4 linked regions of the Arabidopsis thaliana genome follow. The protein of the gene in region 4 interacts with the protein of the main gene of each other region in a pairwise test. Each region holds a gene or a part of one and is shown on either strand. Other genes may lie near its edges.

Region 1 (5,115 bases), on a different chromosome or scaffold from region 4:
AATCATCAAACTGCAGAGATATTTGATAGCATATAATTACTACAAAATTACAAAATAATTAGACAATAATTCATAAACATATCAGAAATAAGATTAACATTAATAAAATAAATGTTTTTTTTATGGGACGAGTTGGCGGGACGAGTTTGGCAGGACGTTACTTAATAACAATTATAAACTATAAAATAAAAATATTTTATAGATAAATACAATTTGCAAACTTTTATGTATACTAACTTTAAAAAATAAATTGATCATTAAAAAATAAATAGTATATAGTTATTGTGATCGTATTAAAATTGCATTATAACGCATTACCTAACTAAATATTTGCAATTTAATTCGCGACTTTGATTGTCTATTTTCCTTCTTATTTTGTCACGCATTAACATTAAACTGATTTTTGCGTAAATAAGACATGTAGATGTTGATTCTGCATAAATTTTGAAGCTTTAAGAAGTCATTTTTATCGCATTTATTTCATAATTGTTTTTAGCAGGAGAGCTTAAAAAGCACATAGCAGAGCAGATAGTGAAACACTTTAATTTCCGCCTTAAACGCGAGAGAACAAAATATCCAAACTTCTAAAAATACAAAATTCACTCAAAACATGACCCAAAAAAGAGAAAAAAAAACCTAAACTGTTTTTAGAAAAGACAACGAGCGACCTTTGTTCTTAAGTTCAAGCAACTGAGAGAATACTACAGAAACCTTCAACCAAAGTTGAATCCACCCGTAGGAGCATTACCACTTTGGTTTCCGAATTGGAAACCGGAAGACTGAACATTCTCAGGAGCATCCACACCGCCAATATCTTCCTCCTCGTCATCTGCAGCCCAATACGACTCCAGGATTTTGACTGCTTTCTCATAAATCTCATTATTATCGTGACTCTGAAGATTCTCAATCTTGTCCAAACCATCTGCGTCTTCAATCATCTGCGCGTACAGATTATCGTTTCCTGTGTTGCCTAGATTCTTCTCGGCTTCACCTACTTTGAGAATGTTTTCTAGACCTTCCAAAGTCACTGTGACAACCCTTGGATCGGGACACGGTAGGAGATCACACAGGGGTCTGATGCAGCCTTGGCTCACGAGAAACCTGCAAGGATATAAGAGGTTCTATAACAAGAATCACTGAAAAAAAAACTAAAAAGAGACAGAAACAATGAGATTTGTTGTACTTGATTTGGTCATGATTGCCACCAGAAGTTGCATTAGAGATTGCCCAAACAGCTTCTTTCTTAATTTCGAATTCACCGATCTCAAGCAGGTTAATCAGAGGCCGAATAATGCCTGCCTGAAACACTTCCTGCACAACAAATTTATCGATGTTAAATCCAAATGTATATACGACTTCTGGTTTTAAATTATAAGAAAAGATATTGGTTTTTGAACATTGTTATTTGTTAATAATGTATATAACTCACTTGAATTTGACTTGTGTTCCCAGCTGTAATGTTAGAGATAGTCCAGCAAGCTTCCTTCTTGATACTCTTCTTGTATGTGTTCTTCAAAAGGTTTAACAGACCAGGAAGCGCTTGACTGCTAATAACCGCCTGTTATGGAGAAAACAGAGATGATTTACTTAAGTAAACATCAAAACTATAGGAGATATAAAAGGCAGACAGTTACGGATAATAGACTACCTGAGTCTGAATATCATCTCCGGTTACAATGTTACCAATTGTACGGAGAGCTGGAATCAGAACTGAGGGCGATGGATGACTAAGAAGACACAGATAACGAGATCAGGTCAAGATATATGTGAATGATATAGAATTGGTAGCTAAAAGAAAATTACTTACGCCAAGAGCTGAACAAGGCGAGGGATGACACCAGCGTCGATAACAGTTTGTATTTTCTCGTTTGTACCATCAGAGAGATATGAGAGAGCCCAGGATGCATCTGTGAGAACTTCTTCGTCGGTTGAATGCAGAAGGCGCTCAAGAGCTGGTAAAGCTGCTTTTGTCTGCTCAACAAATGCAATGACACATTCTCATATTAATAAACAGTTGAGAAAAAACACTTCAAATTGGTTTATATATCTTATATGCAAGGAAACCTGTTCAAATGCAGGCTGCGGCTTCCCTCTGCAGAAATTTGATAATGTCCATGTAGCATTCCTCAGCATGGAGAGCTTTGAATGCTCATGGAATTGAGCCAGAAGAGACATCATAGCCTCACAACTTAGGACATGATCACGACATTTTGGCGAGTCACCAGCAACGTTTCCCAATGCCCATACAGCCTATAATCAGGGGAAAAAAACATAGAAATCAGGATGTTAAAACAGTCGGAATCGAGTCATCAGCAATTTGATCTAAGAGTTTCTTTGCCAGAACAATAGAAAGAAAATTGATATTGAATCTAAATTGATACCTGTTCTCGAACTTCCTCACTTGCAGAACTAAGAAGTTTGACGAATAAAGGGACAGCACCACTATCAATAATGACCCTAGTGTTCTCAGATGTCCCTGAAGCGATATTGGTAAGCGCCCAAGCTGCCTCAAACTATAGTTATACAAGCAAAGCAAACAGCAAAAGCCATCAGCATATGAATCAAAGCACCAAGCTACACTTAGATATAAGAAAGGCAAGCTCACCTGAAGTTGAGTGAAGTCATCCCTGGAAAGAAATTGCACAATGTGAGGAACAACACCAGATTGAACAACTTCATTGATTGGAGGATTTCGCTCTACAAAAAATTCAACCAACCACAATAAGCAAAAACTAAAACCCACAAAACAATCAAACCCTAAACGCCATGTTAAGAGATTTATAAATCACGTACCAATTGAAAGCAATCTCCTGAAGCTAGCCGTCGCCTCCAATTGTAAGTCTCTATCCTCTGACATTACTCCAGCAATCATCTGTTGTATATTCTCCAACTGCAATTGAATCAGGGCAACTTATTATCTAACCTCAAGCAATGCAGATTCTGAAATTAGGGTTCAGTAAACCCCAAAATTCAGTACTCCTGATCCAATTATTTATCTAGGTAACTAGATCAGAAGCTTTCAATTTCATTCTAATTCACCGAGATACCCTAACTAGTTCTCAATCTAAATTCGGTACCAAACATAAACGAGAGAAACACAATCAATTAGATATAGAACACGAAGAACGTACTCTCGTTTCCGTAGGGAGAGACGAGGAGAAATCCTGCCCTGGCTGTGACGCCATGGAAGGATTAAAACCTTCACGCCGCTTCTTCTGCAAGTTCTCCTCTCTCTTGTTCTTCCGGATCTCCACCATGTTATCCTCCCGTCTCCGGCGACCTTCATCGGCGTCCACAGATACTTTATACCTGTTCCGGCGAACCTCAGTCTTCGCGCTTGGTTTGTAAGACATGGTTAGCTTAATCGAATCAACCAAAACAGAGGATCACTAGGTTCTGAAGGAATCGATGTAGACGAACAACGAATTGATCGATCGAGTTTTTGATTTCTCAGAGGAAGATGAAGAAGACGAAGGAGCAGGAGAATCAGGGTTTTGGAGTGATGCGATATAATTTATACAACGTGACGTCGGGATTCGAGGAGGCTACGGGTAAAAGACGATATTGGGCTTAGGCTTTAGTATTAATCACGATATTGCCACAACTTTTGAATTTGAAATCGCAACGTCTACAAAAGGTATAGCGCGATTTTAGTAATATAGTGATTACTAATGCTGACCTGTCTTTTGACTTTAATAAAGAGGCTTTATTATATAAATTAGCCCAATATCGGCCCAACGTTTGCTCAGTAAAGTAATGTTTTATGAATCTGATTACAATAAATTGGGCCTGGTATTTAAGCATCTTAAACGCTATTTCATGACAAACATAAGCATCAACGGACAAGAACTTAACCACCTCTACATCAAGAACTTCATTAGCCAAGTCTCTCGGACAAATCTCCCTCTTCGGTTTCCACGAACCAAATCCCAACAACTCACAAGCCATACCCTTCAAGCTAACCCTTGACCTCTCACCATAACTAAATGGAAAATTTACCTTTACCAGATCACGAACGTCAACTTTCTTAACCACTACTCTAACTAGCCCACCGAGCTTAGCGACAGTTTTAGCAATACCTATTCCTACAAAAACAAACCTCTCATCACGAAATAGATCACTAAGGCATTCGCCGAGATTGGTATTTTGTTTCATATGAAGTAGTTGGAGTATGAGGCATTTGGTTTTGATGCATAGTTGAAGAGTCGAGATTTTTGCATCATCTTGAGGATTGGTCTTGGAGTTTAGAGAGATGATCACCGTTGGTTCATCTCGGTAGGTTAATCGTATGGCGAGGATCCAATTCTTGGCTATGGAAACTTCATTTGTCACCGTTGTTTCTATGAGTTTTTCACGAAATGGAATCAACTGTGTAATTGTTACCATCGCTCAGTATGATTTTTCACTTACGCATATGTCCATGCATAATATAAACGGTTGGTATTATCAAAGTCTTCAATTTTCGAAAAGAACTCGATTCAATGAATTGGTCAAATGTGCTATTAATATGACCAATTTCCGATTGAAAACATTGAACATAAAATATTTAACGAGATCTTTAATCTGCAAACCAAATTTAACATTCCCCACAAACACAAATAGAATTTAGTAGATATACTTCATTCTCCTATTTTCTCATTAATGAATTCAAATACACTCACTAATTACAGAAACAAAAATGAAGAAAAAGTTAAAAGGAATTAAATTAAATTATAATACAAAAACCAAAAATGACCAAGAAATTAAAACCTGAATGATGATGACGTAAACTTGATAGATGATACGAACCATAATTAATAAGATCATTAATGCATCACTATATATCCCTTTGGCTTTGCAACGATCAGTGTAAACCTGATTTTGCATCTTCATTATTGCATAGAACCTCAGCTTTCTCATCAATCATATCGTCTCCTCCTTCCACATCACTATAACATTCATCTTCTTCCTCATCAATATCATCATCATATAAGGACATGGCTGATCCATATCCCGAGATTCCTGATGATGATGAAGATGAAGCCGCCGTGAAAACCTCCATAGTCTCTGATAAACGACCCTCGGAATCATCATCATCTTCATTATCATTATCACCATCGTCTCCTCCCATTTCTG
Region 2 (4,820 bases), about 17 Mb from region 4:
TTTTTAGGAGAGGGTCGTCACTGAGTCTTTAACAAAAAGAGAATGACGAAACTTTAGTATCTAAATTTTTTTCAAGTTTCAACTACAGTCGCATTCAAATATATTTTGTTCTCTGATATTTTCACCGAAAGAGAATCCTAATTACTTTTCCTTTTTTCAAAATATATCGTTGTATGATTTTACTTTTATTGTTGTTTTACAAATAAAATAAAATAAATAAATTGTATGTTCAATACTAGTTTTTGAAAAAAATATAAGATTTATGTATTTTCAATCCAATTTTAAATAAAGTTCTAGCTCTGTCCCTTTTACTTACTAAAGATTAATTGGAGAACTAAAGCTATAAGTATACTAATTAAGGGTTAATAAGATATTTAAGCATTTTTTAATTATCATAAAAGATCTTAAAACAACACTTATAAATGAAAAACTTTTAAAAGACACTTACAAATGAAATTACTAATATACCAAATGTAAGTACAAAAATGTGAAGGGTAAAAGATTTTAAAAAATTGTATTGTAAATGATCAATTTGAGAACAAGAGATACCAAAAGAACATGGTCAACCTTAAAGATACCAAATCCATCTTGTAGAATCGAAAACTTCTCTAGAAGCTTATCGGGGTAATTTACATATCCAAAGCCATCGAGTATCAAACTCTCAAATACAATACGAAGATGATCTAGAAAATTTACATCCACCATAAACATACAACAATCTAACAATTAGTCAATTACTTTGTAATAAAATTTCAGTCCTTTTTATATATAGCTATTAGATCCAAAAGATTAGACTCTAGAATTCGTGTCACCAACAATTGATTTTAAATAGAACCTTAGAAAAAATAAAGACAGTTAAATGCATCTCCATTGTCAGACAGCTTTATGGCTTGCGTTCTAAGAAACAAGAACACATAGAGATCCCGAAGTTGGGACACTGTTCAAGTAATTCGATCTTTTAGGTCAGGTTGTCCATCAAACAGAGCTTGTTCCCCTGCAAATCCCCAAATATCGTAACGTTATTAACATTGTAAATGTCCTAAAACTTCCTTAGGATTCCAAAACAACAAGACTTTACCGGTTATGTTTGCGTTGGAATGACCAATGTTCAACCTTGGATGAGTTAACCCACCTTCCCGACTCATCTCCTTAAGTAACAAAAAAAAATTAGTAAGCAAACTAGCTTTATGGTTATAGAATGAAAAATGTGTAATTCAACTACGCACCACGGGTGAAGTAAGGAGAGGGAAAGGTCCAAAGTGACTGCGAATAGAAGGTTCCAAAGCGTATGAAGAAGCCACAGTATTGATCATTTCCGGTGCATTAGAAGTCGAAGCAAACTGATTGGTATGATTAAGCAGAGGATCATTGGTTGCTTCAGGGGGTCGAATCTGAGAGAGTTGCAATGGGTGTAATGTAGTTCCAGGTAAACACAAAGGATGCAAGTTTATTCCATTTCTCATAGTCAACATCTGCAAATATCAGAACAAAAAAAGACTTATGTCAGAATATAGACTGGTTTTAGGATTTTGGTTATAATGATAAACATAAGGTATCTTTAGTGACCTGAACTTGGAGCTGAAGCTGTTTCAGATACTCAATGGCTTCATCAAGCATTGAAGCCTTATCCGTCTTCCCCAATAAACACATTGCAATAATCAGACACAAAAAGAATCTACAGAAAATAGAATGATTCATGTAGATGTCTCTCTATATATAGTATCATTACCTTATTTGAATTAGGGATGAGACTTTGTAAAGCTTTCATTTTTTCATTAATTCTACTTCTCCTCCTCTGTTACAAGAAAGATAAACATAAATCTCAAATAAGAAAGTTTCTACTTTTGGGAGAGACTCTAAACCAAACCTTCTCAGAGAGATTATGAACTTCAGCAGCTCTGCATCTTTTAGATGAACTACGAGAAGAAGGACCTGACTTGGAAGAGGGAGCTTCATCAACTACAGCTTCTCCTCCTTCCTGTATTTTCATTGAAGCAAATTATCAAACACTCGGTGTGCATTCATTATTACACTCACAAATGACAAAACTTCACTCAAAATCACAACCAAAAAAATTGCGGATTTTAAGGGGGAAAATAAAGTACAGATCCGTTAAAGAGAAATCTCTGTAGAAACATTTTCTCGGGAAAGAGACAAAGAATCAACTTTTAAAACATGCAAAAGATAAAAAACAGAGATTGAGAAAAAACCTCGCTTTCACAGTCATACTCATCTGTCTCGTTGCCACTAGCTCCAACGGAAGAAGACGATACTCGAGTCCCAGAGCTATTTCCTTGAACGTTGTTATTATTACCACCACCGGAGAAACCAAAACACGCGGCGGCTGAGCCTGATCCTCCGCCGATTAAAACCTCAGAGAAATCTCCGACACGTTTCGACATAAGCACAGAATCTGACGGTGGATGATGAGAAACGAGACTTCTCGAGTTATCTGCATGTGGGTCACCGCTCCCGTGCACACCAATCAAAGACGCCGTCGTTGTAGTCGTCGCCGGGGAGTAGTAAGAAGGTAAAGGAGAAGAACGGTCGAAAATATGCCGGAGAAACTGAGAGATTTCGTCGGAAGAAGACGGAGGATGATGAAGATGATGATTGATACGAGTATCGTAAACCGAGGAAGAAGAAGAAGATGAAATCAATTTCTTATCTCCCATCACTCTCTGCTTCTTCTCTTCTCTTTCTTCTCTCTGTGATATCATTACACCAACAACAAAAAAAAAGCAGTTAAAGCTAAAACATTTTTTTTTTTAAACAGTCTTTGAGATTTTATGGGCATGGAGAGAGGGAGAGTGTCTGTCACGCGCCAGCTAAGAAAACAGAGGTTAAAATGATTGGTCTGTCATTTAGTTAAAAGTGAAGGTAGCTGTTACTGTAGCATTAGCAATGAGCTTGTGTCAGCTCACGGTTTTTCAAACTAGTCGTAAATATTAAATGTTTTTACTCTCCCAAAACTTTTCCTCGTCGCACGTGAGACACACTAAACTACTACTCGTAGTTAGTTTTTTTTTTTTTTGGGGTAACAAATAATATACAACCTTTATCTGTTTTCTCATAGTTTATTATTTAAAATGGAAATCTGCTACGGATGAAATCGATAAAGTTAATATTCATATCATTTAGAAGAAAACAAAAACTGTATTTGTATATCTCAAAGTTTAATCTGATGGAGAGATTTTTAAGAAGTCCATTAATCTATAGAAAACGAAAGTTATACGTCTTGGTTGTTTGACAAAAGTATTTCCATTTCTAGTAATTTGTTTTTTTACTTGTTACCATTAATTAGTATTCAAATTTTGTATGATATTGTAACCCGTGGCGTGATAAACAAGAATACATTAGTTGCTTGTTTGCTAGTTTATTCTATTGACTAGTATATAAGAAGCCCATGCTACTGACATGCGTTAAATTACTTGCGACTTTGATTTGTTCTTGTGTTGTGAAAATTATTAACTTTACGGTGTGTGTTTTCAACTATATACCTCGTTCGTATGCTTTCAAATTGGAACATAACATCTGCTATAATTAACTATCGAATTTTTAGTAAATTCATTTTATATGATCCAGCTTTATATCTAGTGTTTTATAGTAAGTTTTATAGAATAATTCTATAAATAATGATGACCACGTTCACATATCCAATTTGCGGCGAACAAAGTGAATGCACGAAAGTTTCCAATTGCGTTCTCAACTGTGCAGACAGCAGCATCAATTCTTTAATGAAGTATTTTTAAAATATTGGTCGTAAATTTGTAAATATATTTTGATCGTTCGCAGCGTATGAAGACTTAAAAAAAAAGAAGTTAAAGTTATATATATTTACACTATATAGTTGTTAGTAGTATTTTATTTTAGTTTTTGCACTGAAAACATCAATCGTACTTGTTCGCTTGATGAATGCACAAACTGCATCATTTATTTCATTGCAACATTCACTTAACCTCGTATATACAATTTTTGAAACAAAGGAAAAGCATATGGGAGACAATTGCTAAAAGCTGCAGCTATTTGTTCAGCATCTGCTTTTGATTCAATTATTTTATTAAGTTCGTTTTTCTGGTACTATTTATACATATACAAAATAATTGTTTTATTAAATATCAGAATTAGAAAGTGACATTGTAGAGTCCAAATGCTTATAGTGGAATTTGTAATTGAGAACATACACAACAAAATGCGAAAAAAAATAATGAAAAAAGCGTTTAATCGTCAAATTAAACAAGGGATCTGATTTTACTCAATTACTCAACATACATATCTCATTATTTTGAATATCCTTATCAAATTCAACAAGATATACACATAAAAAGACAAGATTTACTACGGCTTCTAGAATTGTCAAAGATATTAATGAAACGATGGTTGAGATCTCTTTAATAATTTGTTCAAAATCAGCATGATACACTTTTTATTTTGTCTAGATTCTAAGAAGATAGTTGAATGTTTTCTCTGGTTTTTTAATTGGTGGTTTGATAGAATTTTCAAGTTGAGTCTCTGTATGTTAAAAGACCCATACCTCGTTGTCTTGTCTGATTTGAAAGTCGGAAAACAAAATAAAAAACAAAGATGATCCTAAACTTCTTTTTCACCTTTTATCATCGTTTCCCTTTTTCTTTATATAAAACACTGGCAATATCATATTTACTCATATACAACTATTTACCCATCTAAAACAGACCAAAGTTTCCGTAATACATATGCACCATAACAAGGATAACATAAATCAAACTCACGCTATTAAAAAGATCAATGTTTTTTAAGTTGTTCGTTGGTAGTTTCGAAGACAAACCAACCATAAGTAC
Region 3 (4,239 bases), on a different chromosome or scaffold from region 4:
GAGAGAAGACGCAGATCAGAAGTAGCTCACAGCGAGAAGCCATGGTTTTTGCTTAAACAGCCAAAGTGAGAAAGAGAACAAACGGGATCTAAGAAGAGAGCGAAATTAAAAAACTCATTTTTATTTTCTCTTCCTCCTCCTGAGATTCGTAAACCGAATACCGTGTATTTCAAACCCGCTATCTCACCGACGGGTCTGGTAATGATCCGGATGTTTTCTTTTTGGTTAATGGGTATCGACCAAATCATTCATTGAAGAGATAGAACCAATCTTGTTAATGGGTATCGACCAAATAATTGTCATTTGTGTAAAATTATTGCATTCCTTACCTTAATTAGTTAAACATGTCCTAAGACACAAATGACAATGATTAGAAACATATGGTGCTAACTCAATTAAGAGCAAAACTTTGCTTCATCCTCGCAATCTAGCTATATACATATCCATGTCAATTATGTTAAATCACACTATGTCAATTACCTGCATTAATTTTTAGACTTAATGATTCATAAGAGACCAAAACCGATTATCTCATATTTTTGGTTGATCCAGAACCGGTTAAACAAATCAAATTCGGCTAGGATATCAAACTGGAGTTGCAAAATAACACACTGAAGATTACATGAATGTATCCGCAGTTTCAATGTTTCACATAGCCCATAAGATCAAACACCAACCATAATAGTTCTGATAAGTAGTCTCAACTAGAAAACAAAACAAAACACACCGAGAAACAACCAAGAAGAAGTTCAGTTGTCAGAACTGGAAGATGTGTCTCCACCAGATGAAGAAGAAGACTCGCTGTTAAGCTTCTTCATTTCCTCGTACGCCCATTCAAGGCCGTGACAGTAATGCACCGGCGGATTAAACCTGGTATCAGTTATATCATCTGCCAAGAATGCGCCGTTCTCCACCAGAAACTTCACTGCTTCTCTCTTCCGCTCTTTGGCTGCAGCGTGGAGAGGAGTCCACCCGCATGAGCCCCATGTTTTAGCATCAATGTTGGCCCCACGTTCTAGGAGTAAATCCATGACTTCAATGTGACCTCCCTCTGCTGCAAGGTGAAGTGCACTCACTCCTTTTGATTTGGGTCCCCATGCTAGAGCATTCACATCCATTCCTTGGTCGAGAAGCTGCTTGACAGATTTCAGATCGCCTTTTCTGGCTTTGATATGGAGCGGATTCCAGCCTCTGTCATCGACATTTGATCTGGGAGATCGGCGTCTGAATGAGTTACGCCGGAGGGAGAATGCAGCCGACGGTTCTTGGAGCATTTTGGGTCTGAGCTTCAGCTAAACAAGAACTAGCTTCGAAACTAGGATCCGGATCTGTGTAGGACTACGAGACTCGGGTAGATACTAACCAAACAGGGGTTTCTTATTCTATGCTTTTAGTGTAAATCTCTCAGCCAAGAATGTCTAAAGAAGATACTACTTGATTTGCAACACTATCCAGACTAGACAGCAAAGGAAGCAGACTAATGTAATTAAGTTGAAAGAGAGCAACTCAATTAACGGGAGGCAAAGGAGTGATTGGCGATGCAGTAAGGGAAAGAAGGATTCAAACCAGGGCCGAAGACACTAAGCTTTTGAAGGATCACAGATAAAGCCATAGACAGGGAAGAGAAAATGAGCATCAGTTTGTAAGAAATATAACCCTAATGATTGTGAAGAATCCTAACGGAGCACGACCACATCGAGACTGAGAAACCCCCAAATTTCAGCCTTAGAGAACACTGACCTTACCAAACCTATCAACAAAAGATGGAGAAGAAAACCAAATTAGTGAAAACCAGATGAACACAACAAAAATGCTATAAATTTCTCTGTAATATAAATAACACAACAATCCAGCTCGTGTAGAGTTTCAAAAGTTCATTCAGAATCCAATTACGACACTTGTAGTCTCTAATATTGGCAAATCTACAAACAATACAATAGAATCAGAAAAAATACCCTCACAGAGACAAAATCAATCGAATCAAGGGGGAACTAACGAGTACAAATTTTAATCATCGATCACCAATCAAGTCAGCTACAAATTACACATGAATCAGAACAAATCACAGAAAAACATTGACGAAATAAGAATCCAACGATGAATCCGAAACGAAAAAGAGAAAAATCAATCTCGACACGCAAGGATTTTCACACATACTTATGAACACAAGGAATCGAAAAGTTTGAGAGGCTCGTACCGTAACCCAGCGAGGAGATAGAGATAGAGAAATGGTGAAACCAAGCTCAGAGATAAAAATTTACTTCTCGCCAGAGAGATCGGAGTTTTTTCGCAGTAGGGTTTTCTCGTCGAGATAAGAGAGAATCGAATTCGTGTAGAGAAGGAAGAAGGCGTGACAGAGAATGATAAATATCGGTTTTGTTTACTATTTCTTGTCGAATATGCCAGCTCATACACCTTCATTAAAAAAGGCTGGCTTATCACATATTGGCCCAATTTAACAGGCCTTTGTGTCTAGCCCATTCTAAAACCGGTTCTTTTCTTACTCAATCTAAAATTGATCCGGTTCCCAAATCAGTTTTCCCGGTTTAGTTTTGGGTAAACCTAAAAGTTTATTTATTCCCCCGAACGACCCAGCTTGCTGCTATCAAAACCTTCGAACGGAGAACTTCAACGGCGAGCTCGGGAAATTAATACTCTCCGACGATTTGATTCGGTATGTATATGTATCTGGAGCTCGTTATCGTCAAATTCTATGCTTATCGGATCCTCTCATGATTCAGATGTATTGTCTCTTTTGGCTGTGACTGCAATTTCATCCATTTTACTGAAGTTTAGGATTACTAAGTGCGTTTATGGCCTTTTAAGGTTTCTTCTTGATTGTTTTAAGCGTTTGCGATTAGTTAATATTGGTTCTTTTGCGTATTTTCATGAACTCTAGTGCCTAGTTTCTAATGTTGCAGCAACTGGTTCTCATACCTTATATACACTACTCAAATCAATACTTATCTATATACTAATGTTACTGAATCTAGGTTCTTTTGCTCTATAAATGATGTACTGGTCCTTAATACTTTTCACTTATCTATATAACTTCTTGTTACATGTCGAAGTGTATAGCTTTATCCCTTGATCATCTTGACTACTTCTCTTCCTTTTCGGCATTGCTAATCTCAGCTTCTTTGTGTTCTTATACTGATTGCAGTTAACCAGGCTTTGTATAATTAAGGGTTAGTTTCCAATCTTGCAATGGTGTCTAGTAGTGAAGTTCTTAGCCTATGTCGTGCCTTGCTTCGAGCGGGACGTCAATTCCCTGATTACAACATTAGGGAGTACAGTAAGCGAAGGACCTTGGATGGCTTCCGCATGAACAAGAATCTCACTGACCCATCGAAGGTGACTGAGGCTTATGCTGAAGCTAAAAAACAGCTTTTTGTTGCTGAGAGAGTGCTCAAGGTTTACTTGGCATATCCTCCCAAGACCAAGAACATCATGGAAGTCAAGCTTCAGTAGATGTATGTTTGTCATTACAATATCCTCCAAAGCTATTTGTTTTTAATGGTCATGTTGGAGCCACTTTATATTCATTGATTGTCGAGTTTGTGGCTTGAGAATATGATTCGGGAACAAGTGGTGTTTGTATGAGATTATTATTTCCTCTATTCATAGTTCTTTCCAACTATGTCAGATTGCTTTGTCTAGTTCTCATTAGTAGTCTTTGTGTTTTATGGCTTCAGACATTATACAAGTGAAGAAGAGGACATTGTGGAATATATCCCTTGGATTGTAGCTGAGGAAGACTAAAGGGAATGAAGAGTTCCTGGTTTTTTTGTTCTTTTGAATAATCTCACATGATTGTGCAGTTGTTGCATAACATATGTTCCAACTTGTCTGGAGTTTCTGTATTCTTATGTCGTATTCTAGCACTGATATTTTTAGGTTATAAATCTGAGATTAAAACTCATAATTTCATCTATTATCAGAATTTCTTGAGAAAGCTTTATGATACAGATAAAAACGATACCAAAGTTGCTTCTGTTTGATCAATAAGTTTTTTGGTTTTTTGTCACAAGATCAAATACAAACACAGATAGCAATAATGTATTTAACATGATAAGAATCTTTCCAGTTTTAAAGAACAACTTCATAGAGAATAAAACAAACGAGGAATGAGTGTAATGAACATATAAACCCTCTGTTCATCTACTTTCCAAGCAAACGGCGACCACGTTGGTTTGATTGTTGCACTCTGAAGTTGAGTTCGTCAACATCATCATGAAG
Region 4 (4,034 bases):
CGTGGGGTTTAGAAGAAAGACAAGAAATAGAAGAACAATGATGTTAAATTGCCTATTTTGGTGTATAGGAGTTGTCAAAAGAGGAGAGAGAGAAGAAAATTAGGTCAAAATAATGAGCACTAAAAATGGAGACATGTGTTGAGTAACTATTACAAGAGCGACTTATGCTTCCTTATGGCAATGATATCCAAACCAAAGTGCAACGCTCCTTTTTTGCCCTAATTTCGTAAAGTCTCTCTCCTTCTTCGTCCTTAGGAAAAACCCTAGAAATTTAATCCCTTGTTCTTGATCTTGCTTTTTGAGTAACCATGATTTTGACCACACACTATTTCTTCTATCTTTTGTGGTCTATAGGATTTTGCTTTATATGTGTTTCTTGTATTGCTCCGTACGTACGTATACGAATTTAAATGGTTATAACAAGGTTTATATAAACTAGCACAAATGAGTCCATGAAATTTGTTAGCGAAAAAGGTAGAAATATATTGAGTCTTTAAACGGCAATATATATAATTTTGCTGCAAAACTTAGCTTTAATCATGATCTAATGATATTTTCTTTAATTTCCTTTGCCAAATTAATCACATGCACGGATTTTTGGCAAGTTATGTGTCGAATTCTTCCATTCACACAACACTAAACTTAATTAGAACTCTAGGAAATATTTTAAAATGACAACTTTATCGAAAAAAATTTAGTTATGAAAACAATTCCAGAATTAAACATGAGCTATATAATTTAAGATAAAATGAAGTAATATTGATATGTATGTAATAACATATCTGATTGCGGTAAAAAAAAACATATCTGATTAAATTGTTCATGCAGGCCCATGTCACTATGATGTCATCACGTTTTTATTTTCACAATAACTAATATATATTCAAAAAAATAGTTTTGTCAGATTAAATTTTTTTTGGTGGTCAGCTTTCTCCAACCTACTAAACTAGTTTGGAATGTTCTCTTCTTTATTTTTCTTTTTCTTGATTTCTTATGTTTTTTATTTATGGAATTTTAAGACGGATTGTTTAGGTCGTTTCTCTCTTTTCTTGTTTTCTAAAGTTACTTTTGTAAACTCATCTCCTCCCAATTAGACAGTCAATCATATAGTTATCTTTTAATATATGTCTAGTTGATAAAAAAAATGAAAAAATACTGGTGGTAGTTCTACTAATGTTTGTGTAAAAAATCTGATATTATGAATCTAATCAATTTCTTTGATCGTATAATGTGGGTTAAATTTAGTAATTTTTTACATAAATAAGAACTGTAATGTTGATGTATATTGGGGAATCAGTATATTAGCTTGGGTAACTATACTTCTGGAAATACTTGAAGATTTAACTATTTGCAAAATTATAATTTAGTCCCGAAAAATACAGACGACGGGACACGACAACATATAAGCAGGTTTGAATCTTGGAAAATTTTGTATACATAACCTATATAAATACTAATGTTCTGGTTGGGTTCAAAAGCCTTTTCAAAAGTTCCATTTTTTAAATTCAAGGACATTTTACATAGGAAATAAGTTGAGTCATAAAAAATAATGGTTATTTTGTAAGGTTTTTTTTTTGATTAAAACGCACATATTAAGAAGTTAGTTTTTTTTCACTACCAAATATCAATTAATTTAAAACCATGCAACCATTCATAAAACAATACTATTAAAGAATATAAATAATCACAAAATATTAAATACACTTAAAATTTACATATAAATTTACAAAACATCTAATTAATTGAAACAGAAAGGAAAAGGTAAAATATATCATAAAATGAGACATATATCCTATAAAAAAAAAATGAGGCATATGAAGTAAATAATAAGAGACATGCATGTAAGCATTCGGTTAATTAATCGAGTCAAAGATATATATCAGTAAATACATATGTGTATATTTCTGGAAAAAGAATATATATATTGAGAAATAAGAAAAGATGAAAATGGAAAATGGTATGTATAAAAAGAAAGGAGTGTGCGACTCTTGTGTCTCGTCCAAAAGCAGATCCAACCACAGCCCCAAAAGAAGCATGATGGAGCCTCAGCCTCACCATCTCCTCATGGATTGGAACAAAGCTAATGATCTTCTCACACAAGAACACGCAGCTTTTCTCAATGATCCTCACCATCTCATGTTAGATCCACCTCCCGAAACCCTAATTCACTTGGACGAAGACGAAGAGTACGATGAAGACATGGATGCGATGAAGGAGATGCAGTACATGATCGCCGTCATGCAGCCCGTAGACATCGACCCTGCCACGGTCCCTAAGCCGAACCGCCGTAACGTAAGGATAAGCGACGATCCTCAGACGGTGGTTGCTCGTCGGCGTCGGGAAAGGATCAGCGAGAAGATCCGAATTCTCAAGAGGATCGTGCCTGGTGGTGCGAAGATGGACACAGCTTCCATGCTCGACGAAGCCATACGTTACACCAAGTTCTTGAAACGGCAGGTGAGGATTCTTCAGCCTCACTCTCAGATTGGAGCTCCTATGGCTAACCCCTCTTACCTTTGTTATTACCACAACTCCCAACCCTGATGAACTACACAGAAGCTCGCTAGCTAGACATTTGGTGTCATCCTCTCAACCTTTTTCATGTTGATATATTATATATAGATGCATAAAGATTCGATCCAAGATTGTATGGGTGTTTTAATATTATTATTCTAAGATATATGATGTACAATTGTGTACCAAGTTTCTTTATCTTGATATCATATGCATAAATAATTGGTGAATAAAAAGAAGATATTGATTGTAAACAAAAAAAAGAAGATATTGATTGTTAATTAGGGTTTGATCATTCTGTATGAAAGCTTTGGCCTGCAAATTAATTTTCGATATATATATATATATATGGAGAATATATATCAAATACTTTTTTAATTTGACTATAATTTGTATCAATTATCTGAATCTGATGAGTGTAGGTTATATATGGATTAGCAAAAAAGAAAACAACCATTATTACGCACCTACATTAAAAATCATCCACCAAAGAAGAAACCATCCTCAAGAGGGTTCCCATATTGGAGAATAATGAAAAATTTAAGAAGAAAAGGGTCGAGATTTCGACGGACAAGCATTCTGATTATTACAAACATATTTTAGAGAAATTTAGAAAGAAAATTAAACTAAAAATTAAAAAGAAGCAAACTGAGATAACTCTCTGTCTCAATGGAACGCCGGCCAGAAGTGATCATCGTGATTTTGGTTACCATCTTGATAAGGTCAATCGAGGAGTGTATCCGTTTCAAACACCACACGTCCACTATATTTCGCCAAGTTAAATTGAAAGGAAGATGAACAATCAAGAGATGTGGTAGTTATTTTGAATTAAGCATATCCAAAAAGACCCTAGGCGAAGCTGAGAGATCGCAAGTTCGAGTGACACTTGGAACGAAACTAATATTACATGATGTGGTTTCGGGCCTAAAGGAATTACGGGCTTCGGCCCAGAACCTCCTGATATTCAAAAAAAAAAAAAAAAAAGATGTTTATAATAATGATCTTTGAAATTAAACCTCTACATTTATCATAATATTCCTAAATAGTACGTAAATAAAAAACATGCAACCCATGCATATCCAGTCTTAAGTTTATACATATAGATAAATCTCAAACCATACAAATACCATTGTTCTTGTGATTTTTTACTTCCATTTCCTTTTTCCTCCAACGGTGTCATATAAAGCTAACAAATAACTCGTGATTAAACGGACATTTCCAATATGGGCTTTTGGGCCCATAGTGATATGGGTCTCCTTCCGATATCTTTGACTGCGCGTGCCTCCAAAGTTGCTGTAGAGAACAGAAAGAGGCCTTCGATCCTGGCTTTGTCCAGACAAAAGCTGCCTCATCTACCTGGAACTTCGGTCGAGGTAGTGGTGAAGGGGGGATATGTAATCTCAGACAACTCCACAGGTGACAAAACTAGACGTAATCCTAATGGGGACAGGGTCGGAGCTAGAGATAGCTGCAAAGGCTGGAGAGAAGCTAAGAGAAGAAAGAAAAGCAGTGAGAGTAGT

Evidence for each region.
Region 1: the proteins of IND (region 4) and IMPA-6 interact in binary tests that used the Arabidopsis thaliana proteins (3 or more experiments, as listed by UniProt).
Region 2: the proteins of IND (region 4) and SPT interact in binary tests that used the Arabidopsis thaliana proteins (3 or more experiments, as listed by UniProt).
Region 3: the proteins of IND (region 4) and ANK6 interact in binary tests that used the Arabidopsis thaliana proteins (3 or more experiments, as listed by UniProt).

The regions. Positions count from the first base shown.
Region 1 is NC_003070.9:582,635-587,749, reverse strand, and holds IMPA-6 (importin alpha), read right to left. Parts: upstream 3,491-5,115; 5' UTR 3,354-3,490; coding exon 3,132-3,353; intron 2,891-3,131; coding exon 2,794-2,890; intron 2,698-2,793; coding exon 2,606-2,697; intron 2,514-2,605; coding exon 2,382-2,513; intron 2,251-2,381; coding exon 2,065-2,250; intron 1,975-2,064; coding exon 1,808-1,974; intron 1,728-1,807; coding exon 1,649-1,727; intron 1,559-1,648; coding exon 1,430-1,558; intron 1,312-1,429; coding exon 1,184-1,311; intron 1,102-1,183; coding exon 714-1,101; 3' UTR 531-713; downstream 1-530. UniProt on the Arabidopsis thaliana protein: Binds to conventional NLS motifs and mediates nuclear protein import across the nuclear envelope. Acts as a cellular receptor for the nuclear import of the virD2 protein of Agrobacterium, but is not essential for Agrobacterium-mediated root transformation.
Region 2 is NC_003075.7:17,412,067-17,416,886, reverse strand, and holds SPT (basic helix-loop-helix (bHLH) DNA-binding superfamily protein), read right to left. Parts: upstream 2,805-4,820; 5' UTR 2,721-2,804; coding exon 2,211-2,720; intron 1,979-2,210; coding exon 1,868-1,978; intron 1,796-1,867; coding exon 1,730-1,795; intron 1,633-1,729; coding exon 1,567-1,632; intron 1,473-1,566; coding exon 1,227-1,472; intron 1,149-1,226; coding exon 1,079-1,148; intron 995-1,078; coding exon 942-994; 3' UTR 501-941; downstream 1-500. UniProt on the Arabidopsis thaliana protein: Transcription factor that plays a role in floral organogenesis. Promotes the growth of carpel margins and of pollen tract tissues derived from them.
Region 3 is NC_003076.8:24,625,289-24,629,527, reverse strand, and holds ANK6 (Ankyrin repeat family protein), read right to left. Parts: upstream 2,342-4,239; 5' UTR 2,198-2,341; intron 1,751-2,197; 5' UTR 1,275-1,750; coding exon 750-1,274; 3' UTR 560-749; downstream 1-559. Other genes in the region: AT5G61240 (Leucine-rich repeat (LRR) family protein), read right to left, coding at 1-43; AT5G61220 (LYR family of Fe/S cluster biogenesis protein), read left to right, coding at 3,208-3,471; SNAP33 (soluble N-ethylmaleimide-sensitive factor adaptor protein 33), read right to left, coding at 4,162-4,239. UniProt on the Arabidopsis thaliana protein: Promotes anthocyanin accumulation through interaction with PHYA, especially in response to far-red light, high light and sucrose treatment, probably by triggering A3G2XYLT/UF3GT expression.
Region 4 is NC_003075.7:41,111-45,144, reverse strand, and holds IND (basic helix-loop-helix (bHLH) DNA-binding superfamily protein), read left to right. Parts: upstream 1-1,947; coding exon 1,948-2,544; 3' UTR 2,545-3,480; downstream 3,481-4,034. UniProt on the Arabidopsis thaliana protein: Transcription regulator required for seed dispersal. Involved in the differentiation of all three cell types required for fruit dehiscence. Acts as the key regulator in a network including SHP and ALC that controls specification of the valve margin.